4 linked regions of the Caenorhabditis elegans genome follow. The protein of the gene in region 1 interacts with the protein of each later gene in a biochemical or structural test. Each region holds a gene or a part of one and is shown in the gene's direction. Other genes may lie near its edges. The genes, in order: flp-12, dmsr-8, dmsr-7 and dmsr-1.

Region 1 (4,829 bases):
CCTTCAAAAACAGTTGATTTCATTTTCAATGTTTCAAAATGACGTTAGTTCTACAAAAAAAGTTAACTCAACTCGACATGTGCTACTCAGCGGTTAAACGTTACAACTTTTCAAAATCACTACGAAAAACGCTAATTCGTTTTGCTTGCACGTATGGAAGATTTCAGAGCAATCATAAATTATGGATAACACTGAAAGTCTTTAACAACAAAAGTATTTTTGACGGAAATTTTTAAAAAACGGGAATTAGATTGACATAGTAACAAAATGTGTTTATCAATTACAATTACATCAAAAATAAAAGTATCATGCGACAAAGACATTCTTGATTAAATGTCGGAATTATCAATGCCGAGAGTGTGGATCAGGCCAATTAAACCGGATTACTCATTTCAGAGTGCTAAAATTTTTGAAGATTAGAATCAAATTCACTTCATTACGATGATTGCTCTGAACTAGCTGGGAAGAGAAACAAGGAATATTTTTGGTTTTTTTCTGGAAGGGGATTGTTTCACTGTATAATTTTTTTGATTGTAGACAATATTCACCCAAATGCTCACTTTTCCATTTTATACTATTGATTTCAGTGTAATGGAATGTACGACTGATAAAATCGTTCCAATAAACACTTAAGTCACCCCACTTGAGCCAACATTTGATATTTGACCAATCCACATACTGAAACTTGAGTAAATGGTTCCACTTCCTCTTCCTTTTTTCTTCAAGCCCTTCTGAAAAAAGTTCATTGGTTTTGAACTTGTCTTAAAACAGAACGGAAACTTATACGAGTTTCCTGAACGAGGAAAAGTTTTGGAGCAGTTTTTTCGAACTTTAAAGCTTTTCCAAATCTGATAAATTCAAAAGTGTTCAAACTGGTAAAAAGCCAGACGTTTATTAATGTGAAGACATTAAAATTGATTATGAACAAAAAAAGTAATTTCGAGTTGAAGTAAATTTACAATAGGAGCATATATTCTTTTTGAAACTGTTACCAGTATTATTTGGAAAATCTTTTAATGCTCACCGTGAGACCAGCTCTAATATTTTGAAGCTAAAAATTCACAACGCCACGCTTGCATATCTTGCTCAAAAGTCCGGTGGTATCTTCAGATGGCTCCTTAGAAAATCTTTTGATCATGCAGTCTTCCAGCCTGGCGGCCCTTTTAAGCCTTATATACGATAGGGGGATTACGGTTAATGCTAAATGGTTGCAAATGTGTGTTTTATTTACGTGATGATGTTTGATGAATCAGCATATGAAAATATTTTGGAGAAAAATAATGAGATAATCGAGTTACATGACACCTAGTTTGGAGTTGATAATATTAGTATGTTTGTTGATAATATTACTATTTGGTTTCAAATTGAAAAATACTGAAACTCAAAAATTTTGGTATACTTCTAGAATTGCCTTCCTGGAATTGGAAAACATAATTATTGCAGAGATCAAAATAGAAGCCTGAGATAATTCTGGATGGCTTTAAAGTTTCAAAAACCAGTAGTTAAACTTTGATTCTTATTGTGCCATTGAAACGATCTTGTTTTTAATCAAGATGCTTTGGGGAGTACTTCATCTCTATGACTTATGAATTCAAAGAAATACACACAGTGGGCGTCCTGGACATAAGTTAATTTTGGAAGAGTGTACATAGAATAAGAATTTTGTTTCAAATTAATTTGACAAGTCATCGAAATAGTATTTTACACATTTATGGGTAGGTTTTCTTGTGTACTTTGCTGTTTTCTTGTATAAAACAGCAACAGCGATTTCAAAATCTGTGAATAGATGCAATTGGTGGTTGCACTATATAGAGAGGGATAGGCTTCTCAAAATAGTTCCGTTTCGACTCTGTAAATTTGTCATGCTTCCGGAGATTGCACTCCAATTTAGACATTCTTTCAATAATGTTTTGTACGGAATCTCAAAAGTGTCTTGCATTGTTATATTGTGCACAATATTTCTGGACCCCCACGGTCGCGCCTTTTGCCTTCCAATTTGCGCCTTTTGTGCGTGTCACACCAGCATCACTTTTTCGCCGCCTTCATCCGGGATTCCTCTATCCTTCACAATCAGTATGGAGGAGAAGAAGCACTGCCGGCGGAAAGCGATGACGAGTTGTGTGGTGAGAGGACGGATTGCCCAATTTTCCAACTATTGTCTACCATCAATCTTCTCCCGAAAAGACACATGATTTCATTTTTTCTTTTCCACTCCTTCTATTTTTTTGCTGTCTTGGTGACATTGAGAGCTCAACTTCATCCACCATAATTTCTCCTCCCAAAAGGGGAGGACCATCATTAGGCCACGCCCACTTGGTCGGCACATAAGCTCGCCAGATTCAGATCGGCATAATATTTGCGCCACACAAGCTGAACTTTCAGTAAACATGAATGTTCAAGTCATCATCGCCCTTTTGTTCTGCCTTATTGCAACATGTGCTACACAGAAAGGTAAGCCACTAGTTCCTTGTTTCAGAAATAGCTTTCAAAATGTAACACTAGACATAGCTCTCCATGTATTGTTAAAACGAATTGGTGTCGTCGTGCTAAGAATTACAATTTGACAAGGAGTCTCCGAGTGGGTGAATCCTGTCAAAACCAAACATGTACATAAATCCTCAATACACAATCTAGTAATGCAATTCACTTCCAAAATATGTCTCAAAAATTAGGCGCAAAAAATTGGAATGTCCTAGCGTCGAGTCACCGACTCATTAATCCCATTAGTCCCAACTATTTCTCATCCAACATGCATAATTACACCAAGAAAAATTCCTCTTCCTGTTGTGCAAATAACACAAAGCGCAGTGTGGCCTAGCTGGAAATTAGGGACTCTTCTGGACAAAAATCTTTCTGAAAATAAAGCAAAAAAAAAACTAGATAAAAGTGAGATTCTGAATAACAAGTAGCAAATCGAGAAACAGAAACGGAAGAAAATATTCTTGGCCCATTGCATTTTAGGAACTCGTCTTATGGGGCCCAGCAAGAAAACCCGACTAGACACATTGATATTATCTTTAATGTATTGTTTTTAGTCAAAGGATCGCCTGAAGTACTCCCGGCAGCCATGTACGATGGGGAACTGAGCCACGAAAGCGTAAACAAGGTACTGTTACTGCTTACCGCACCGAGAGCAACTCGATCATTTCTCAATTGTTTTCAGATTAGTGCTCAGCTGCTGAATGCTCTATCAGAGTTGGAAGCACTTCAGGAGGGCAACCAGCAGCTCAAGATGGCCGAAAAACGACGCAACAAGTTCGAGTTCATTCGATTTGGACGAAAGTAGAGCATCATTTGAGCCGAGCATTGTTTCCAACCTTGAAAAGGATCTATTTAACCTTCTGAATCTCTGAATCTCTCAAATGTTCTCACTCTCTATGTCAATTTCGTAATGAATTGTGATAGCAGCCGATGAAAATAAAACTTGAATTGTTTTTCCTTGTTTATCCCGTGTTTATTGCAATTTTCCTTTTAAAAAATTGGAAGAAAATTGGAAATTTATAAAGCCTGTTAAATTTTGACTTGGAAATATGAAATAATACAATTTGAGTTTATAAAGCCAAATTTAGGCTGATATTTATAAAAGCTGGAAGAATCCTGTCTAACTTAAGTTGTTAGGAAATTTGTCATTCTTTTGAACAATCTTAAGATTGTAGTTTTACTCGTTAAACTCGTTAAAATACAACCGAAAATTGCGTTTTGATTTGATAACCAGATTTTAAAAAAATTAAATGATAATATAATTTTTAGAATATTTTAGTAGTTTGAAATTTCTTTCTAAAAACCAACAACAACAACATACCGTGCTCACCGAGAACTTCACACATCGCTACTTAACTACGCAATTAGACAGTTCAAATAGTTGGCTTAAAAATTAGCCAAAGTTTTGAAATCTGAATTTTTATATACAGTACAAAAGTTTAATCAACTGTATTAGATTTTCAACCTTCCCAATTTCAATTCTACTTGGAAGCACAAAAAAGTTACGAAAAATGTAAAAAGTTAAATTTCTATTTGTAATTTCAATTTTTACACTTTGTTTTGAATGTCTAATTGCTTCTGAAAAATTTCTCGTAAACTGCAATAAAGCATTTTATTTTGTTTTCAGGTTCCCATGCGATGCATAATCAGAAACGAGAACGAGATCGAAATGGAACTTAGAAAAATTGTTTGCTGGTTTTTAGCATTGATTAAAATCCGTGAAGATGTTCCATTGTTTTTCCTTGTTCACTCTTTCTTCCAACATTGTTCAATTTGAATTTCTGAATAAGAGCCCGCAAAGTTCATTAGATCAAAACAAAAATGTTAAAGTATTTGGCAAGGTCGAACAGAAATTTCGAATGATCTTCACAACAATAGTACAGATACCAGAGAACGGAGGCTGCAAAAACAACTATTTTGCTTTGAAAAAATGAGTTAACGAATAATTTAAGAAACGCGTTTTTTGGAGACGAGTGGAAAATTTGAATAATAACAAAAAAGAAACCCGGAACATGTTTAGTCTACAAGTTGTATGATTGGCTTTTAATGGAATTCAGTTTCCATTGTCTTGGACTCCGGGACCTTCTCATTTTCCGAGTCTGATCCTTTTTCAGATCCATTTTGACTGGCAGATGGGGTTAGGTCAGTTGACGGCTTCTGATTCTCCATCATATTGTGAGTATTTTCAGACGGACCAACTCTTCCATTGTGTTGAATGCCCTTTGGACCCATCGGCGGACGAGTCAACGGAATTTGTGGTCTGAAAATATATCTACAAAACTATTTCTGGAACTTTTGAGAGAAACATACCCCATTTTCTTGGCCGGATTAAGATGTCCGCATTCGAA
Region 2 (7,189 bases), on another chromosome or scaffold:
ATGCAAGTTGGGCAAATGAAATGGTTATCGTATCCTCAATTTAAATTATTTGTTACTGTTATTATAAACCTCTTATAAATTACAAAAATTGAAAAAACCGTGTTCAGGTAGTCTCATGAATGCAAATGCTTTCTCATATATGGAAAAAAAAACACACCAACAGTTCATTTCATATATTGCCATGCAATACAATTAACTTCGTCAATGCAAAATGGAAATTAAAAATCCTCAAATTGCCGATTGTCACAAAAACATACTTGCGTACCTTATTTGAACTCTGAGCTTGTCATAACTGTGACAAGTGACATGAAACGTAATCTTTTTGTGATCATTGCTTTGCTCTCTTTGACATAATATTTTGATCAAGCATCACAGGAACATCCAACCTAACACATTCCCAGACTTAATGAAATCAACAACTCAAAGTTCCCAGGCAATTCATTTCCCACCACCCCCATCTTTTCATTGTTCCACCACCCGTCTGGTTCATCAAATCACCGGACATTGATATCCTCTTTCAAATACAACGACAATCAATCAACAGTGTTTACCTATCATCTTATTGAGAAAAAAAGACAGAAGAAGCATGTGTTCTTCTTTCTTCACCGCCTCCTTCTTATTAGATTCTACTCAAATTCGTACCCATTTTATAATTATCCCCATCATTAGAGTTGTTATTATGGCCATATTCGTTTCTAAGTTGACATTATAATGAGGGAGACAAAGAGAAAGAGATCTGCCAATGACAACTCTGTTCACACATTGACAATTTGTTTTGGTGGTTCGTGGCTCATCGCATAAACTTTCGCCCGATTTAATTCAAATTACGGACTCAGATGGCTCATCTTTCCCAGTTTTCGGCATTCCACTAGTAATTTCAAAAAACGGCTGCTCACTTTCACTTAGTTTCATCATCGAAATGTTCGTTTAAATGAAACTCTCAATGTCAGACACCCTTTTCTCCTTTTCCTCTTTTTTCCGATCTTCTATTTCGTTTTAATCACTTGCTCGTCAATCAGATCTTAGGAAACGATAACATTTCTTTGTAGACTAAAAATCAAAATCCTTTTCTGATTTTTACTTGGAAGATTTCTTTTAAAATACTGACTGAACAGACTAAAATTATTCATCGACACGCTCTCTGTAAAAGTCTTTCATGTGTCCTTCCTTTTCGGTCCACATTTTCTTCGAATGAATTTCTTATTTTTTCGTGGGAATTCGATAAGAAAAGGTATTTTTACGTGAGAAAAGCGTTCGCCTTCTTCGAAAACTAGATTAAAGTTTAAGTCGATTTTGAGATGAATGTTTTCGAGTTTTTCAATTTTCTCTGTAAGGTAGTTTGATTTTATTCCCTGTTTATTCCTCTCCATTCCTTGAATTTGCCAGGAGTTTTGACATTTTCTACCGTAATTTGTTCTACAAGTAACATTTTTTTTTATCAAAATCTAAAACTGTGTTTTTGAAACTAAAACCGTTAAATAAGTCCAAAGCGGAATTTTGCAGACTTAATAATTTTCAGAGCATCGGGTAACTTCATGGTTTTTTCTTCAGAAAAATCAGACAATGTTTCGTGTCTCTTTTTGAAGTATGGGGGAAACCAACTTCCATTTCTGGACCGTTTCAAAAAGTTTAAGTGATACATTTTTATAATTTATATTGAATGACGAAAATCCCGTTTTTTCTAATCGTTTTTAAGGAATTCTTTTCAAAATCAACCCAATCATCGAGAGCAGTATATTTTTTTCCGTTTCTTGAAATCAAGCCACTTATCAATCTCCCACATTTTGTTATTCCTCTTACTCATCGTTTTCACATCGTCATTTTATTCTTTTCAAGTTTTCTGAATATATTCCCAATCTGAATAGCCTAAATTTTTGTTCCATTCTTTTTTTGCGCAGTTTTATTTATATTTTTTGCATTTTATTTTGTAATTTTCAGGGAAAAAATAGACGGAGTGTGAAATGATATCTCAAAACCTAAGTGGAACAAAATAATTACAATATTTTTTATTAATATACCTCCGGACTAGGAGGACACTTCTCACAAAAGTAAGTTGTTTAAATAGAAGTGTACTAAAATTTTCATGATATATTTTTTGATGGAAGAAAATCTTCAGCACTTTTATTCATTGATATTTGTTCAAAAACAGTTTTAATTAATTTTTTTGAAATATTGTAAAATGCAGTACTTGTAGACATCCTCATTGTAAATTCACACTAGTTTGATAGATCCTTCTCTAAAAATCTCTGGAATATTAGAGTACTTTCATTTTAAATTCATAAGCTCATAATCCATTTTTAGATGGGATGTGACATGGGTTCGGTGAATTTCACGGGTGCCGAGTGGCTTGAGACAGCAGTGACAAATATAAATACAGCGTATGCTCATATTCATCCGTACGTCTCTGTGATTCTCTGTCTTGCAGGTTGGTTATTATGAAGTGATCGCACATGTTGATCCTTTTTCAGATGGTAATTTACTGAAAATAACATGCAGGGGGAAGCAGAAAAAGGTGTTTGTTGATGACGAAAAAGCAACAGAAAGAGTGAAAAGCAAGAAATAAAATCTGATTTGAAAGTGCGCAGAGCGTGTGAGATTTATTGAGCACGTGCAAAAAGACTGAAATAAATAATGAACACTTGACAAAAATAATTAAATAAGGTCTGATCCTAAAATATGATATATATATGGGTGATTTTTTAAAGAATTTAAAACTACATTGGTTGTTTTGTATATGGCTTGACAGTTTGCTTGACATTTTTTGCAAAGTTAAAAAATTTAGGAAAAAACAAATATACGAAAAAACAAAACGGAAAATTCGCGAGAAGATTTATTTCATTTTTTGAGTATCTACAGTGGAAAAAAAATAATTAAAAAATAAAACCCCGAAATGTTTATAAATCGGCAGGTTTAGTTGATTTGCTGCGTACGCGTTGTTTTCAAGTGATTTCGTGATTTCCCAAAAAATAAAAAATAATACAATTTGCGCATTAAGAGAGCGTTGAAGCACAGCACTGACATCTACCAAAAACTGCTTTAAAATTATTACGACAACAAAAATGTTCAACTAATGCCACAAGTGAATTTTGTAGGTACTGCAATGAACATAGTAACAGTGATTGTTCTAACTCGTCCATCAATGAGATCAGCCGTCAATTCACTTCTTTGTGCAATTGCTCTTTGCGACATTCTTGTTATGACCAGTGTCCTGGTTTTTGTTACTCATTTTCTACTATTTGCGGGGTACAGGTTTGTCGGTTTTGCATGCACGAGTTTCTTTCTGTTGACTGATTTTCTGTGATCTCTAACATTTTCTGTGTTTTCTAAATAATCAGAGGTATAAACTAACATCAACGCAGCAGTTCAACACGATGCAATTGGTATATTTTGTCATTAATTCCTAATTAAAGGAATCCTCTTTTGTAGACTTATTGGTTGAATTTGTAGAATCGTGTTCTTTTTGCATTTAATTTTGAATTTTTTTCTGATTTATTGTGATTTGTGACTCAAATAGTGTCCATTGGATATGGGAATGAAAGAACTTTGAGAATGAGTTATCATGAAAAAGCATCCAAATAGATTTTGATGTTTTCAATTCAATTTGAAAAAATATATACCTGAATATTTCCAGATGCGATCCAACAGACTACAACATTTATTGGGCATATTTTTTATACTATCATTCCCAAGCCACGGTTATTTTCCATGCAACAAGTATTTGGTTAACAGTAAGTTTTCACGATTAAAATTCAAAAACTTATATTATCAAAACCAGGTTCTACTAGCCCAAATTCGAGTGTTTTCTATCCGGCGAGCAACATCTGTAGCTGGAGAATCTGTAACTAATCAAATGACTTGTATTATTGCTGTTACAACATTTATTGTAGTTTGTTTGTTAAATGTTCCAAATATGCTGACATTTGAGGTAATCACACTTTTTATTCTAGAATATCAAGAATTGAAATGACCAAAACTTGAAAAATTAATTAATTATTGTTATTATCCCGTTTCGGTTTGAACATAACCTTGAAAAAAAAAACAATTTAATAGCTAAAATCAAATTAGCTATTAGCTGAAATACTTAAATTTTAGATAATTGAAACGCCAGCATCTCTTTGGCTTCAATGCAAAGCAAACGAGACAGCTGAAGACGATATGCTCGTTTATTTGGTTGCTCCATCTGATCATTGCGGACTACTTAATGTGAGTAAATATCTTGTTTCTGCTAACTTTTTATGTTCTTTAGATTGCATTCTGGACAAATGGAGTACTTTTCAAAGTTGTTCCTTGTCTTCTTCTAACATTTTCTATAGTTGCACTTGTCAGTATTATTCGTGACGTTGGAAAACGAAGGAAACAATTAGCTCAAGTGATGAATAAGAAAAGAATGCCACGAGATCATACTACACCAATGCTTGTCGCCGTTCTTTCAATATTTTTATTTGCTGAACTTCCACAAGGAGTACTTCACGTCTTCAATGCAATTTTCACAAAAGAAACATTCTACGATAAAATATACATTCATCTCGGAGATGTGATGGATGTCCTCTCGTTGCTCAATTCTGCCGTTAACTTCATCATTTATTGTGCAATGAGTCGGAAGTTCCGAGCCGTATTTATCCAGATATTCCTTACATGCTTGCCACAAAAAATTATACGGTTGGAGATAAAGTTGTGGGTTCGTATAATGAATTTGAAATATAAGTTGCAGAAAATACGCAATGGAAGCATTCCTGGACGTTGAAGTATCTCGCATGAGACCTACTGCTGATATGACAAAAAGTGAACAATTGGCATTAACGTCACACCGAGTTTCAGCGTCCTCCGTTCTTTTACCTATTTCTAGACCTGATCCACCCAGAATGTATTCTGGAAATCTGCTTACAGCTGGTAAGTATATTGTTTTGCAATAAGTATTCCAAGATAGTTGCGTATTATTAAAACCAGGAGTGTGCGGCAATCGACAATTTTCGGCAATACAGAAACGTTCGCCCCTGTTTGAAACAAAGAAGTTTAAATTTGGTTTTAACAGAAATTGTTTCCAATTTTTAAAATAGAAACCTACATAATTTTAAAACTACACAACTATCTTGGATTCTTCAAAAAACAAGTATCTTAATATCAAATTTCAGAGGATTCTGCCTAAGTTAGTTGAAAAGGTGAACCTTCTTGCTTGACTTCTCTCAAACTGATTCTGATACATCTCTAACTTTTATACCTTTGACCCAAGCTAATTTGAAACTGACATGATACTCTCTTTCTGCACATATACATTCCTAACTTTCTTGTGACTTCTCAAACTTGCTTGTTTGTTTTTCTAAGCAAACTTTGATGTTTTCATTTCAGACATCAACGGCGGATACTCTACATCTCCTCGTGTTTCCTTTGATATCGTTCGTAAAGAATCGCAGATCAGTAGCGTCGTCGATTTCCAACTTGTGGTACCAAATATGCAGGTAGTTAATTAGGTTTCAAAAAAAAAATTAAACAAACACATTTTCAGCAAGACTCCCTAAGCATTGTTCAAAAAATTCTCAGATTTTTCCGTTCTACAGATGAGCTTTCCAATAGTCCACACAGAAGAATTAAATTAATGCAATGTGAAACAAGTACTGCTCTTTATTAAATTTTTGCCATGACTTAAAAAAAAGTTCTTGAATTCTGCTGATCTGGAAACATAACGTTATAGTTTCAGACTTTCTGAAACTAGGTTTGCGACATGATCTTTAACTCAGAATTCACATTGTATTGTTTCATAAACACACCGTTAATGTCATATTATTACATATTTACTGGTACTTTATCTCTACATATCGATAGATTGTCTCCTTTTTTTCTGTATTTATTACAATAAATCTTTATTTAAAGTCCATTTCAAGTGGAAAAATTGGAACTCGATTCGAAATTAATTCGGGTTTTTTGAATCTGAGAAGAGTGAAATTCGAGCAAGGTGCCAATACGGCTCGTCCAATTTCCTCATGAAAGGACCCTGATTCTGTTGAATTGAACAAGACTATTTCTGAATAAAGATTCAATGTTTTAGCGTGAATTCAAACCAAACCTTTAATAAAATCTCCCGTATTCAACTTGAAATCTCCTGTCCGGTTTGACATAATTTGTAGAAGGTCCTCATGTTTTCGATTGTCAAGTTCTACAATATTCATTCGCGGATGGAAAATGTCATGCACATCAACAGACGGAATTTCAGTGTTATTAAGTAGAGAGAATATTTTTTCTGAAAAAAAAATGTACAGAGTGGTTAGCTAATTTCGATAGCTGTTCTGATAATTGAAATTGACTTCAAACTTATCATGAAAAATAGTGAATCCGAAAATGATAAAAACTTTAAAACTTTAAAAAATCGAAAAGTTTCATGGATCAACTAAAATCACACTTTTTCATAATTTAGTTTTTCATAAAAACAAAAACTAAGTGTATTCTGGAGACTGGAGAAATTGAAAAAGTACTATTTATAGCTTGTATATTTATGGCTTTTTTCAAATGTTTGATTTCTCAGGATTTTTTTAAAATGAACAACACGCATTGACCCGATGTTCATGTGCTCAACAGACGCAATGATCATTTGATTTTTTTCTGAACATTTTTGTGCTTGCAGGAAAAGAGATATTGTTTGTTTCCAAATCACAGAAAAAGATTCAATCAATAAAATTTTGCAACAACAAAAAACTCACGATGAACAGAAGAAATAACACTGCTAGACATTGGATTAACTTTTCCATAAAGGGTAGTATTTGCCATTACAGCAGTTCCTTCAAACAATGCCGGAATTGAATATGATACATTACACATTGCTTTTGGTAATTCTTTCAAAAACTTTTGAACTCTGAAATTGAAAAAAAATTATTTGTTCTCTCAAATCTAAAAAAACTAACATTGGTAATCTGGTTTCATTGAGTTCAACTGTGTTTAGTTTGATATGAAGATGGGAAATGTTATGCACAAATTTTACAAATTGAGGATTGCTCTGTGTCAGATTTACTTCGATTTGATTCACTTGTTGGACCACCTGAAAATATTTGTATTTCTTTTTATCTCACAACGATGCAATCTTACTGTTGGATTTGTGACCATGATAGCGAAAAATGCATTGTAATTTGATGAAATTGTACCGAGAAGTTGAAGAAAAATGATTGTTCGATGTAAAAGCGGCATTATTAAATTGAAAGAT
Region 3 (6,279 bases), on another chromosome or scaffold:
GGCCTGTTTGTATCTTTGTATGATAGCAAAAGTCAGAGCCACTGTAACTAAATAATGTGCTCAAACTGAAAAAAAACGGAGGCATTCCAAGCAGCCGCCTGAATCATTCTATCCGGGAGTCTGCACAGCCATCTGAAAGATTAGTCTAGAATTGAGCATTAGGAAACTTGTGGAGGAGCCAGAAGGAACCAAGAAAGGCTCCTCTTCATTGCCCAAAGTTTTGTTGTGATTTGTGCATCCCAATTCTCTCCTCTCACTATTCCTACCCCTCCTTCTAGTCCTTCTTTTTTTTTCCTCCTTTTTGCTCGTCACTTTGAAAATAATGCAGTCTCGTCACTGCTTTTCAAGCACTAGAAGCTGCTTGAACTGCAAATTGAATTTGAGGAGAAGCTTCGCCATTTTGTTTCGAGTAAAAAAGACAATGAACACGTTACGTGCGCAATCCACCATTGGTAGCGCCTCTCCTTCCTCCAGTTTTTGCCCCTTTTCAGCTTTTTTCCTGCATTTTTCTCATTTCTCCCCCAATTAGGCTCTCTGCATTTTAAGGTGTTAGAGAATTAGCTAGGTCACTCTTTTGATTTCTTGAAACAAAGATGAAATGTTCAGTGGTCAATAGTCAATAGGCACATCACTTCAATTCCCAAGGGACTTGAGCTTTCTTTCTTCCCCTTTTGACTGCGCCTGCGCCCCTAAACTTTTTTTTTCCACGTTTTCCTTATTCATAAGTCGTGAGAATATTCGATTTTCCGATTCATCTTCTCTGGAAGATGAATTCATTAACTTTGAATGCCACATTTCTGTCTCGAAATCCATTCTGTTTCAAATGTTTCGGTGTGTGTGAAGCAGCACCACACAACAAACATTTTCACAAGATGGCCCCCTGATTTTATATGTTTTATGGTGGCATGAAATACCAAAGTTTAAAACTTTTATACTTAACTAATAAGTTTCTGTTCTAGGTAGGACTAACATGGTAGGCAGGCGCATAAAATTTGAAAGCAATAAATTTGAATTTCGATTAATTTGATGAAAAGCAGGTGGACCTAACTTTGAAGTCCGGCAGGTAGGCAGTCGTTTGGCGCCTACCTAGAAGCCCTAGATCTAGGTTACATGTTCACAAGAAACAGAAAGTTGAGCGAAAGATTAAACATTCACGAACGAGTGTGCTTCACAATTATAATCATCGCAATTATAAAACTGCTGAAAAATATGCTTACTATGTTTTAAAAGACTAGTCTTGCCAAGATAAGTTGGCAGGCATGCCTACATGCCTACCAATTATTTTGTGCATTTTCAAGATCTGCTGAAATCGAAAAAAATTATTTTAAAATGTTTTAAACCCAAATAATAAATATTTTGATAAATATGGCTCTCTTTTACGGTTTCGAGTGTCATTTTTTTTTAAACATGCAAAATTTACAAAAGAATTTACGCGTTTTTTGCAATTTTTCGCTCACTTTGTTTTCGAAAACAAACAAATCTACCGCCCTGGCCGGCAAAAAAATAGGTTTTTTGGTTTTTTTTACTCTAGGAAATAGTTTTTAAAAAATAAAAATCTTCAATCAAAGATTTTTACAATTTTTCAAAGTATTTTCCTGCTATAGAAATAACAACTCACGGAACAAAAATAACTTCCGGCCAGTGACCTATAATTTTGTAAATTTTTTGAAAAACGAAATTATATATTTTGTTCGAAAACTCGATCAGCTTCTTCCACAACAACCGACTGTCATCTAAAAGTTCAAAAAACACAGAACGCATTCCACCCTGTTGCTCTTGGCTTCTTCTGATTTTCTCCTTATGTTTCTTTGTTTCAATGGTCTTTAAAAACCCCTTAAATTTTCAACATTTTGAAGGATGTGCTAGATATGGAATGTCCGCACGATGCTCAGTTGTTTGATCCGAACAGTAACAGTACGCAGGCATTTCTTCGGAAACTTGCACATTTTCAAAGGTTTGTTAAACTATTTTTTGTGCACTTCTTTCAAAAAAAGAAAAATGAACCAATGATTAATTGTCAGATGGTACCAGCCAATTCACGGATATGTATGTGTGCTCATCTGCGTTTTTGGTATCTTCACCAATTTTGTGCATGTGGCAGTTTTATCGAGACCCAACATGCGCAATTCGGCCGTCAACTGCATACTGACAGCAGTGGCTGTCTGTGATATCGGAACAATGGCATCCTATCTCATTTATATTATACATTTTGTCTTACGACGAAATAATTCCTGGTAATTCTTGTGTGTTTATTGGGTGGAAATGTTTTTGTTTTGGGAAATGGAGCGGCGTGGCGGCTTTTGAGTAGGAACATCAACAAATATGGAATTTTTGGAAAAATAACACAAGCTTTAAAATATTTATTTTCTGGTTTTTCCTATTCCAATTTTATGGTGAATTGCAAAACCCGGAAAATGTCGGTCACTTCATAAAAAGGATGTAGAGTTCGAAGGCGCTGATTGGTTTAAAAATAGTCATGGCTTCTCATTTTGGAAAAATTCAAATATGAAAATTCGCAATTTCAAAAATTGGACATTTTTAAATCTTTCTCGATTTTTTAAGTTTCCTTTTTTTTTGATTATGCAGCATATATTTGAATATTTCGAATACTTTGAAACAAAATCCTTATTTTCCAAACTCTACCTCAAACCATTAATAACAAGAATTCAAACTAAGTGTGCTCTTTCTATTGAAAATTTTGAAGGATATTTATATTCTTCTATTTTTCCACTCAAGTATCAACACACACACACAAAAAAACATCCTCAAAGTAATAATGGAATTTCAAAAGTTGAATGCCCATGTTCGTCACTTGCTGCACTTAATTGAAGAGGCATAGAATTTTAGTTGAACCTGGAACTATTTATTTCCTCCTATCCGTTTTATGTGCATCAAAACATGAAAACAACTGCATATTTTATTGATCATAGGAAATTTTGAAAATCGTCACAAAGCTACAAACTACGTGTATTCATAAATAACAAAAGTGAATTCAAGATGAAAAGTCGCTCGTAAAATGATACTGAAAAACACGAAAACAAGCGTTTGCAATGAAACTCAATAATTTTTATTATTAGATTTTATTACAGCACTCCAACGTTCACTCATTCTTGGTTACAATTCCTATTGTGGCATGTTGTTTTGAGCATCACACTACACACAACTTCTTTATGGCTCGCTGTGGCGATGGCGTTCATTCGGAGGATGACATTAAGGGTTACCGCTTTGAATAGGTATGCTGGGAGCAAAGTTTAAGGGACTAACATTTTTTTATACACTAAGATGAACAAGTTTTGTAATGAAAGTTTTCAAAATTTTTTTCAAACAATGGTAGGTATCCAAAAATATTTAAAATTGAAATTTTACAAAGACATTGCAAGCAATATACCCAGAAACGTTGGCCCCCTTAAAAAATCTGGAAATTTTCAGTCAATGGCAACGACCAAAGTTCGCATGGAAGTTGTGCCTGGGAATCTATATGGTCGTATTTGTACTTTGTATTCCAAATATGCTGGTCCACGAAATCGCCCGTGTAGAAGGAAATGACTGGCGACCTGGCAAAACGTGTCAAAAATTTGCATCGAACTACTCTGAACCGGTGTACACTTTTATGGTCAGCCACGCGGCGACTATCAACAATTGCCGGTTGTTTAAATGGAATATTTGGATGATTGGAATTCTGTTCAAGGTTAGCGAGTACGCGAGTTATCAAATTAAACGTCCTACCAGTTTTCAGATCATTCCATGTATTCTGCTAATTTTCTTGTCTTTCGGCCTTGTATCAAAGATTAGAGACGCAGAAAAGCATCGGAGGAAACTAACGAGTGTTCCGTCAAATGCATCAACAGATTCAAAACCATTGAAAAAGTATAGTCAACTCTCAAAGAACTTTTATGACAAAATGGAAATTTTCAGAAAGAATGGAACATCAGATAGAACCACATTGATGCTTGTTGTTATTTTATTGGTATTTTTAATAACGGAGTTTCCACAAGGAATCATCTCGATTCTTTGCGCAATTTTTACTACAGACGTTCATAGGTAAGATTTGATGTTTAACTAGAAATTTGGCCTGGAAAAACTGAAATCGAACTGCCCCAAGCTTGACCCAATTTTTCTTGAGTCATTTGAATTTTTGGAAATTTGGGTGCAGGCTGAGTCTTGCAAAAGTGTTGCTAAATTTTTGTTGGCCCAATTAAAGCTAAAATTGGGCGCTAAAGAAGTTTTCGAAAAATTAAATTTTCCATTTCAGATACCTCTATTTCTACATTGGTGATGTTCTTGATCTCCTATCGCTTGTCAATTCCTCTGTAAATTTTGTTTTATATTGTGTGATGTCTTCAAGATACCGGCAGACGTTTTGGGAAGTTATCATTCCTTCGTGGGCTTGTGGGTAAGTTCATTCTTATTGAACCAGTTCCTGTTACAGTAGTCTAAAATAAAATTTTTCCTCTCAGATTGTGGACGACCCGTCGTGGTTCTCCGACGGAACTTTCACAGCTTCAGTTGAACAACAGCTTACGACTAGGAAGGTCAGTTAATTTGTTTTTGAAGTCTGGAAAATATTATCTTTAATTTGCAGAAAACAAAGCTATACGCCACTGGCAACTGAACCGGAACCAGCACGCAATGAGTATTGGCGGTATGAAGCTTCCGTGTCGGACAATCAGAACAGCAGTAGAGAACATCAACTTTAAATTCCAATTTTTTCGATCTCGGTACAAATTCCCTTTGCAGATTTTTTGTGATATCTTGCTCATTTTCATAGCTTTCGCATTTTCTATTCTATTCTTGTTACGGGTACTTTTTGTTTTTTATTAATTCAGTTTTTATATAAATCAATATGGTTTACAAAATTATTAAATTATTCACGGCGCCGTGAAAAAAAAATTGTTTACAAAAAGACACGTAGATGTGAGTAAAACTAGGAAAAAAAATTATTTTCAATTGAAAGTGATTTCCGAAAGGTGAGTTCTCTTTTTCTCTTCCAGGAATCAAAAGTTAAAAAGGTTTGATGTTTTAGATTATGAAAGACGACGTCGTTGACAACATAATAATTGATGTCCTGAGCGCTAGTACTCACGAAAAGCTACTTTCCGAAGTGATCACGGAAGGACGAGTTCTAAAGCTTCTCGATTTGGCACTGGATGTATTTAAAAGACAGAAATCAATGGTTGAAATGAATGCTCCGATAAAGGTGTGCGGTGACATCCATGGACAATTCCCGGATCTTCTTCGTCTCTTCCATCGTGGTGGATGGCCGCCGACTGCGAATTATTTATTCCTTGGTGACTATGTGGACCGTGGAAGATTTAGCATTGAAACCATTGTTCTTCTTCTCGCTTATAAGGTTTGTTGCTTTAAGTTTTGCAAAAAGAAGCTAGGATCAAAAATTGTGACGCGCCAGAATTAATCATTGACACAAAGAATGCCAAAACAGGGGATTTTTGCAGAGACCGCTTAGATTTTCCAAAATAAGCGTACACATGTGATAAATAAATGTGTTTTCAAAAAGAAACATATTTATTGTCCATCACATATTGCTCTGCAAAAAAGTGCGCATCTCTCAAGTATCAAAGTGACAGAAAGTTGATGCTGCTCCGATGAGCTGTCAAATTTGAAAAATGACGTCAACTGGAGTGATGGATCTTTTGGACGTTTATTTCTCTCTCCCGATCTTCCAAATCCCATGGCGTGAACTTCTTTGAAACATTTTTCAAGTCATGATTCCAGGTGAAATTCCCGGGCAATTTATTCTTGTTGCGTGGAAACCATGAGTGCGAGTTTGTCAACAAGGTATATGGATTCTATGAAGAGTGTCAGAAACGCTATCAAAGTGTTCGCATGTTCACGGCTTTCCAGGTAAATTTGATTTTTTACCAAAATTGAACAATAAGGTGCAATATTAATACAGGAAAAACGGTACTTTCAGGACGTATTCAATTGGCTTCCACTCTGCGGACTCATTGCTAATAAGATCTTGTGCATGCACGGAGGACTATCGCCTAGTATGTCAAAGGATTTCACTTTGGACAACCTGAGAAAAATTAATAGGCCATGACGGCAAGGAGAGACTGGTAGCTGATCTTTTGTGGGCCGATCCTATTAGTGGTCTTTCTGGGTTTATGGTAACTTTCTGATAAGAAAAGATCGATTTCATCAACTTTATTCAGGAAAACAACCGAGGTGCCGGGTGTGGATTCGGAAGAGATGCTGTTCTGAAAGTGTGCTCCGATTTTAAGCTTGACCTGATCTGTCGTGCCCATCAAGTTGTTCAAG
Region 4 (6,436 bases), on another chromosome or scaffold:
AAATGAAAGAAGAAGAAAAAGCAGCAAAGCTGTTTCTATCTCTGCTCCACCCCCGATCCTTTCATAATATAATATTTTTAATATTCAAAACCTACGGCTATACAAACGGCAATGGAATTTCAAGATCCATTCCCCCAATCTTGGGAGTAGAGGAGCTGAGCATCCGGCGGCTAGCGAGGTAGCAATAACACTGCATTCCATTTCTTCTTCCTCTCATCCTCCTCCTCCTCGAATTGAATGAATTCAATTGGACGGGCGACTGAATTTATAAAGAAATATGAAAATGAGAAGACGGGGAAAATATGGAATGCAAAAAGAAAAGAATTTCATTGTCCTCATCTCTCTAAGTTTGGTCAGTTTATCCTACGGCTTCTTCTTCTGTCACCTTTTTATGTGCAGAAATAGTTGCGTCATTCGTAAGGTCACATGAAGTTTCGTTTAAGTTAGGCAAAGAGCCCATCCACTGTCACAAATTCGGTTAGCTTCAGAATTTGCATTTTTCTCGGTCTCAACATCCGTCGGTTTTTTTATTTGGCCCCGTACCTTCCATCTTTTTCTCCGAGTTTGATACTTCTTGTGGGTACTTTTTGTACTCTCACTCGTATCATACTTCTTGATAGGTCTTCTCAACTATCAACTTGTTTACAAGTTTGTAATATTTTTAGAATTTTCTGTTCTGTAAATATGTTTACATGTTGTTGGATTTTGATGTTTTAAGTATAAAGGATTTGATTGCATTGTGGAAACTTTTGGCGTTGCATTTTAAAGTTCGACGTCACAAAAAATAATTTTAAAAAGTAAAATAAGAGAAGTTATAATAATCCTTATTTTTCAGCTATTTTTCAATACAATTTAATACACAAAAATGATTTAACAAGCAATATAGGAAAATCCGACCTAACCGGACTTCCATCATTTTCCTTCCCCTAACTCAAAAGTAATTATGCTTAAAATTTTCAATACTTGGGATATGTTTGCCAGTGGAGTTTGATCTTGTACCTTTTACTTTTTTATCGTAACTTCAAACCGAATTCCGGCAAATATTTTCATTTTCAGCATAAACTTTTGTCGTTTTCTTTAATGATAAGTGCGAAAAATTCCTCTGGCACGAGAGTCAGCTCAATGAGTTTTTTTCCTGAAGTGACTCCGGAAATGGGTGCTCACCTGACATGTGGTCACGGATCAACACATGACTAACTTTGGAAATATCTATCCAAACCTTATCCGCTCTGTAATTAGAGTTGGAGCGCGCTAGGCCGCCTCACACACTTCCGAGCGCTGACCGAAATTTGGTTATATTCTGATGTTATTTTTTGTCGGGGAGAGATGCGTTGCACCCCGCTCTGCGTTTATCTGTCCGTGCTCAACATAAAAAAGGTTCTTTTTTTTGAGTAAAAAAGCAACAAATTCCGCCCATGCTTAGATACTGGGCCCATCATGGCGGCGAACGGAAGGACTAGGAAGCGAGGCTTGTTTTGAGTTTCTTTTAGTGATCGAATAGCGGTTGGAAGTAGATACGGATATTGCACATATATATATATATATATATATATATATATATATATATATATGTGTGTGTTTTGAAGTGAAGAGACAGTGAAATAGTGACAAAAAGCTGTTGAGATATCCATTTAGGTTTTTGAATTTTCTATTTTTCAAAATGCGTAACGTTTATGGTTTTTAATGACGTGATGTCTCTCTGAAATAGCGGGCATTTAAAAACAACTCTTCTTCCAAGTGATAGAAAAAGAAATAATTATCAATTTATTTTTCCAAGTGCCTGGAATTTGTGACATTTTCTTTGTAATCGAATACATGCTCAATTGCCGAAATTGTGTAGCGGCAAAAAAATTAATCAAAAAACGAATGTGAATATGAATTTGGTATAGTGCATATCAATTTTTCCGAAAATTTGTGTACTTTTGAATGTATTAATCTTGTTCAGTTTATGCAAATTATTCCTTCTGAAGTTCATTCAAAACTTTTTGGCTCTCTTTTTTCAATTGTACTCTTAATTTTCCCAGTAAAAAAATCATTAAACTTCCTGTGCTATTTTTATTTTTATATTTTCTGATTTTGCAACTCCTTCAATTTCTGAATAATGATTTCTTTAAGGAAGTTTTATCTGCAAGATCTCCCTAATTGGCAATAATTGGTGTTTATCTTAGATTTTTGAGCAAAAGCTTGCAGTATATTTTTGTTAGTTTTTTTGTTCCAAAAAAACACACTCACCCTATTATTTGAGTGTTTTTGTTTTAAAAAGTGAATGAGCAATGTGTTGCCAAATCTTTGTCCCTTTTGTCATTTTTTTCATAGTCATCTCTCATTTCTAATGACGTTTTCCGGTTTTCCGAATCGGAGCCGTTTTTCATTTGAACGCTTGTTTTCCTCATTTTCAACGTTTCAATATTAATAAATTGTTGTTTTTTTTCAGATGTTCAAATAGAATCAGAAACAATAGAACAGAGGAACAGCAAACAAAATGGAGTTTACCGAATGCAAAACTACATTTATTCATCTGCCCGATAAAAGTTTTTTATACGATGTTTTTGTGTAAGTTTTACTTTTGTGTCTCAAAAATCTTTCAAATAATTGCCCAGTACTGTTGTATTTGACGTATTTTCAAAAAGTACAGTTTATCATCATTAAAAGTTATCCTATTATTTGTAGAAATCATCCCTAAAAATAGCGAATAAAACCAAGTTATTGAAGAAGGTTATCTTATCTTAAATTATTGTGTCCTCAAAAGTGATGACCATAAAAAAGAGAGCCATTAATAAATATTTCAAGAGCAAAAGTGGAAAAAAGTGAAATTAAACGTTTTTTTTTCAGAAGTGTATATAATTTCTACCATCCTATACATGCCTACTTATCAATATTTCTATGCGTGTTGGGTACAATCGCTAATTTCTGTAACATCGTCGTACTAACGAGACGAACAATGCGAACGCCAGTTAATATGATTTTGACAGCAATGGCATCTTGTGATACAGTTGTGTTATTTTCAAATTTAATATACACAACACATTACTCATTTGTCGCTTTCAAGTTTTGTCATCCGAAACATTGGTCCTACTCTTGGGCGTTATTTTTAATTGCTCATGCTCATCTTTCATTAGTTGCACATTCTTCAAGTGTTTGGTTGTCAGGTAAGCTTTTCATTCTGAAGACAACTGTCCAACTCTTCGATTTTATTGCAGTTATGCTTGCACTTGTTCGATATGTAACACTTCGAAGTAGGGGAAATATGGGTGGTATGCAAGTGACGTTAAGGCATTCTTATTATGCCGTTGCTGTTACTGTATCCCTTGTAGCAGTGCTTAATGCACCGAATTTTCTGAATTACAAAATCAATGAACAGCCATTGAATGAAACGTGTACCGATTTGGATCCAATGTTCTGGAATTCGCCCGCGTATCTTCCTGGAATTGCAGACATTGCAAAAGCAAACAGCTGTCTGGTAAGATTTTTGAATTTCAGTAAAAAAAAAACAAGATTTTTGTTAAAAAATAATGTTTGACAAATTGTATACAAACAAAATTTCTCGAAAAACTTTTTTATTGGAACTTAGATTTATAAACTAAAAATTTTGGCAAGATCATCATAATATAACTTTGAAGCTTTGGATTTATATAAACCTTTTTGGAAATAATTGATCGATCATATGTACATATGATATCATGAAAATTATACAAAATAATATTTATCATCGTGATCGTCACCCTAGCAAAAACCAATTTCCTAATTTCCTGCAGGTCTTCCGGTTATCTTATTGGATATCCGGTATGGTATTCAAAGTATTACCATGTGCGCTTCTATCGTTGTTTGTTTGGCTCCTTTTACGAATTCTTCGTGAAGTGCGTGAGAATCGTCAACGTCTTCTCAAGAACTCGCAACATCGACCACCGAATCAAACGACTACTCGAAACGGACAAAGACTGAGCATTTCAGTTGCAGGCAACGAGAAATTAGGCAGAAATGGAAGCTTACGGGGGAGAGGAGAACGTGTCGATCGGACAACTCATATGTTATTGGCAATTGTAGCAGTTATGCTAGTGACTGAATTACCTCAAGGAATTATGGCTGTCTTGTCTGGAATGTGTTCTGAAGAATTCCGAATTTACATTTATAACAATCTGGGAGACATTCTCGATTTGTTCTCACTTTGCGGTTCATGTTGTTCATTCATCATTTACTGCTCAATGAGTGGACAGTTCAGAAATGTAAGTTTTGATATTACTTGAAAAAAATTTCAATGAGCGACATCTTTTCAAAATACCTCAATGAAAAATGTGTTGTATGCTGTTAGAAAATACTACAAACTTTCTCAACATTCGGTGGAACTTTCCAAGCGAATTTGTCTTTTTTTTCTTTGTTTTCTTACTAACATGATGTTCGGCAGCGTCTTAAAATGCGCTTAAGATCTCTACATTTTCCGACAATTGCGGAGTTGTTTTTACAAGAAAAATCATGGAAGTACATACTTTGCTCATTTTATGAATGTGTGTTTAGTTCATTTTAACACAGGGAACAAGCATTTTCATTTGATTTCTATAAATAAAAATTGGTTCATTTTCAATATAGAAAAATCATAAAATTTTTAGGAATTCCACCGTGTCTTTGTACCTGCAAAGGTGAGATGTCTCCGAATGTCATCGCCGTCGATTCGTCGTCCATCCGACGCCTACAGTACCACAAAAATGACTTTTCTAAAACCAAACGAGAAAAACGGAAATGGAATGAATGGAAATGGCACTTATTCGGAAGATACAAGGTCAGCAAGTGTTAAAGTAAGAATATCAACACATGTTTTTTCTACAAAACTTTTGAATAAGCCATGTTAATTTTCAGATGGTCGGAATCCAGGTACGAAGAAACAGTACGGAAATAACGAGAATGACTGGATGTGATTCAATTACTCCATGTTCTCCAATGCCAACATCATTTCCATCATCCCCACTTCCACCGATTCGAAGTGGAGAAGATGAATCCACTGATGAGACATCACATCTACTTAACAGCTCAGGACCCAACTCAACAGCCAGTGCTGATGGAATTCGTGGACACTTTCAAAACATTTGATATCAGAATTTTTTAAACACACAAATTGCAACACGTGTCAGAACAAAACCATTAGTATTTACCATATTCACGGGTTTCTATTTCAATTTTCTGATTACGTTGATTTCTTCTTAAGCGTGTCCTATTAATGAATCTTGTTTTTTATTAGTAACATACTTTTTTTTTAAATCTTTAAACTTTTCAGAATTGAAAAAAAAAATAAAGTAATTGTTCAGAAATTAAAATTCTTTCAATTTGCATATTGAGGTTATTGATTTATGTATATGACAACCTTTTATGAATGAAAATTGCAGAATTGGGAATATTGTATCCTCGGAGAACTTCAAACTAGCTCCCATAGTAGGTAGACATAGATTGATTTTCATAAGCATTTTTCTGGTTTAAATGAATTTTTTATCATGCCATCACAAAAATATTGATGGCAAACATGACAGTCGTATGTCACCGTGTAATTAAAACACTTACTTAAAAAGGATAATCTTCCAACTTGTAAAAATGTTTCGGCATAGCAATCTTTTATTTGTCAATGGAAAGTAATAGCTAGAGATCAATTAACCGACAAAGTTACCGGGTGCCGAAATGAAAGAGAAAAAAACAGAAAAGCTGACTATAATGAAAGCATCAAGTGGGGGAGAAAAGTAGAAGAAAACGCACAACCCGTTTCGGAATGTTCTTTTTCGGTTTCTGGCTACACAAATTGAAAAAAATAAACTAGTAGCTACTTGGAAACAACAGCTCTTTCTGGTGTTGAGATCGTGACGTGGCGTTTTAGTTGAGTTCCCAAGTTTCGAATTGGTGACATTGAACAATCTCTGGATGGAACATTTGAAGCAAATTCTCCGGGTGCATTTGAATTTCCCGCTGGACGATAAAAGCAGACAACAGCTACACAATTATTTGCTGTGTTCCAATACCGTGCAGCGCCAAGTTCTGTTGTATCTTTCCAAACAACTTGTGAAAATCGTTGACATTCTGAAATTAGAGACACTTATGAAATTGACTCGGACCAAGAGTAAGCTAAGATTTTAGTTCTTGTCTAAATATTATTTTTTAGTTGATTATGTTTTGAATGGGAAGTTGGCAGCCTTTGGGACAGCAAGAATTATGCGAATTTTTGAATAATATTTTGTTTATTTGTTAGCCTTATTTTGTTTATTTGTTAGCCAGTTCTGCTGATACAAAATGAAAATTTCAAATTTTGCCCAACTCAACCTATTCGAAATTAAGAAGCAAACTTCAAAAACTAACTTGGATTCCATCGCGGTTTGTCGAAATCAAAGAACTGTGCTTCTTTTTCCCATTCTTGAATAACTTCTTGTCCAGTTGGTAAATGTGACTGTTCATTTGCCTCTTT

The links.
Region 2: the proteins of flp-12 (region 1) and dmsr-8 interact in a test that uses a peptide from one of them, tested with the Caenorhabditis elegans proteins (one large-scale study listed by BioGRID).
Region 3: the proteins of flp-12 (region 1) and dmsr-7 interact in a test that uses a peptide from one of them, tested with the Caenorhabditis elegans proteins (one large-scale study listed by BioGRID).
Region 4: the proteins of flp-12 (region 1) and dmsr-1 interact in a test that uses a peptide from one of them, tested with the Caenorhabditis elegans proteins (one large-scale study listed by BioGRID).

What each region holds. Positions count from the first base shown.
Region 1 is NC_003284.9:4,589,886-4,594,714, reverse strand, and holds flp-12 (FMRF-Like Peptide), read left to right. Parts: upstream 1-2,310; 5' UTR 2,311-2,387; coding exon 2,388-2,451; exon of another isoform or gene 2,452-3,035; coding exon 3,036-3,106; intron 3,107-3,163; coding exon 3,164-3,286; 3' UTR 3,287-3,434; downstream 3,435-4,829. Other genes in the region: lnp-1 (Endoplasmic reticulum junction formation protein lunapark), read right to left, coding at 4,525-4,753, 4,792-4,829.
Region 2 is NC_003283.11:10,509,121-10,516,309, reverse strand, and holds dmsr-8 (G-protein coupled receptors family 1 profile domain-containing protein), read left to right. Parts: upstream 1-1,938; 5' UTR 1,939-2,048; intron 2,049-2,301; coding exon 2,302-2,425; intron 2,426-3,092; coding exon 3,093-3,249; intron 3,250-3,631; coding exon 3,632-3,728; intron 3,729-3,775; coding exon 3,776-3,925; intron 3,926-4,092; coding exon 4,093-4,203; intron 4,204-4,246; coding exon 4,247-4,659; intron 4,660-4,711; coding exon 4,712-4,890; intron 4,891-5,346; coding exon 5,347-5,456; intron 5,457-5,503; coding exon 5,504-5,626; 3' UTR 5,627-5,858; downstream 5,859-7,189. Other genes in the region: C35A5.6 (uncharacterized protein), read right to left, coding at 5,859-6,019, 6,062-6,235, 6,693-6,844, 6,894-7,027, 7,075-7,173.
Region 3 is NC_003283.11:5,403,502-5,409,780, forward strand, and holds dmsr-7 (G-protein coupled receptors family 1 profile domain-containing protein), read left to right. Parts: upstream 1-1,851; 5' UTR 1,852-1,868; coding exon 1,869-1,954; intron 1,955-2,021; coding exon 2,022-2,234; intron 2,235-3,089; coding exon 3,090-3,233; intron 3,234-3,429; coding exon 3,430-3,688; intron 3,689-3,736; coding exon 3,737-3,867; intron 3,868-3,915; coding exon 3,916-4,041; intron 4,042-4,252; coding exon 4,253-4,393; intron 4,394-4,457; coding exon 4,458-4,532; intron 4,533-4,582; coding exon 4,583-4,697; 3' UTR 4,698-4,885; downstream 4,886-6,279. Other genes in the region: C25A6.1 (Serine/threonine-protein phosphatase), read left to right, coding at 5,027-5,350, 5,734-5,862, 5,933-6,008, 6,055-6,128, 6,174-6,279.
Region 4 is NC_003283.11:11,436,336-11,442,771, forward strand, and holds dmsr-1 (G-protein coupled receptor dmsr-1), read left to right. Parts: upstream 1-2,434; 5' UTR 2,435-2,482; coding exon 2,483-2,553; intron 2,554-2,832; coding exon 2,833-3,149; intron 3,150-3,200; coding exon 3,201-3,460; intron 3,461-3,755; coding exon 3,756-4,223; intron 4,224-4,604; coding exon 4,605-4,790; intron 4,791-4,851; coding exon 4,852-5,082; 3' UTR 5,083-5,229; downstream 5,230-6,436. Other genes in the region: F57B7.2 (SCP domain-containing protein), read right to left, coding at 5,801-6,054, 6,331-6,436. UniProt on the Caenorhabditis elegans protein: G-protein coupled receptor.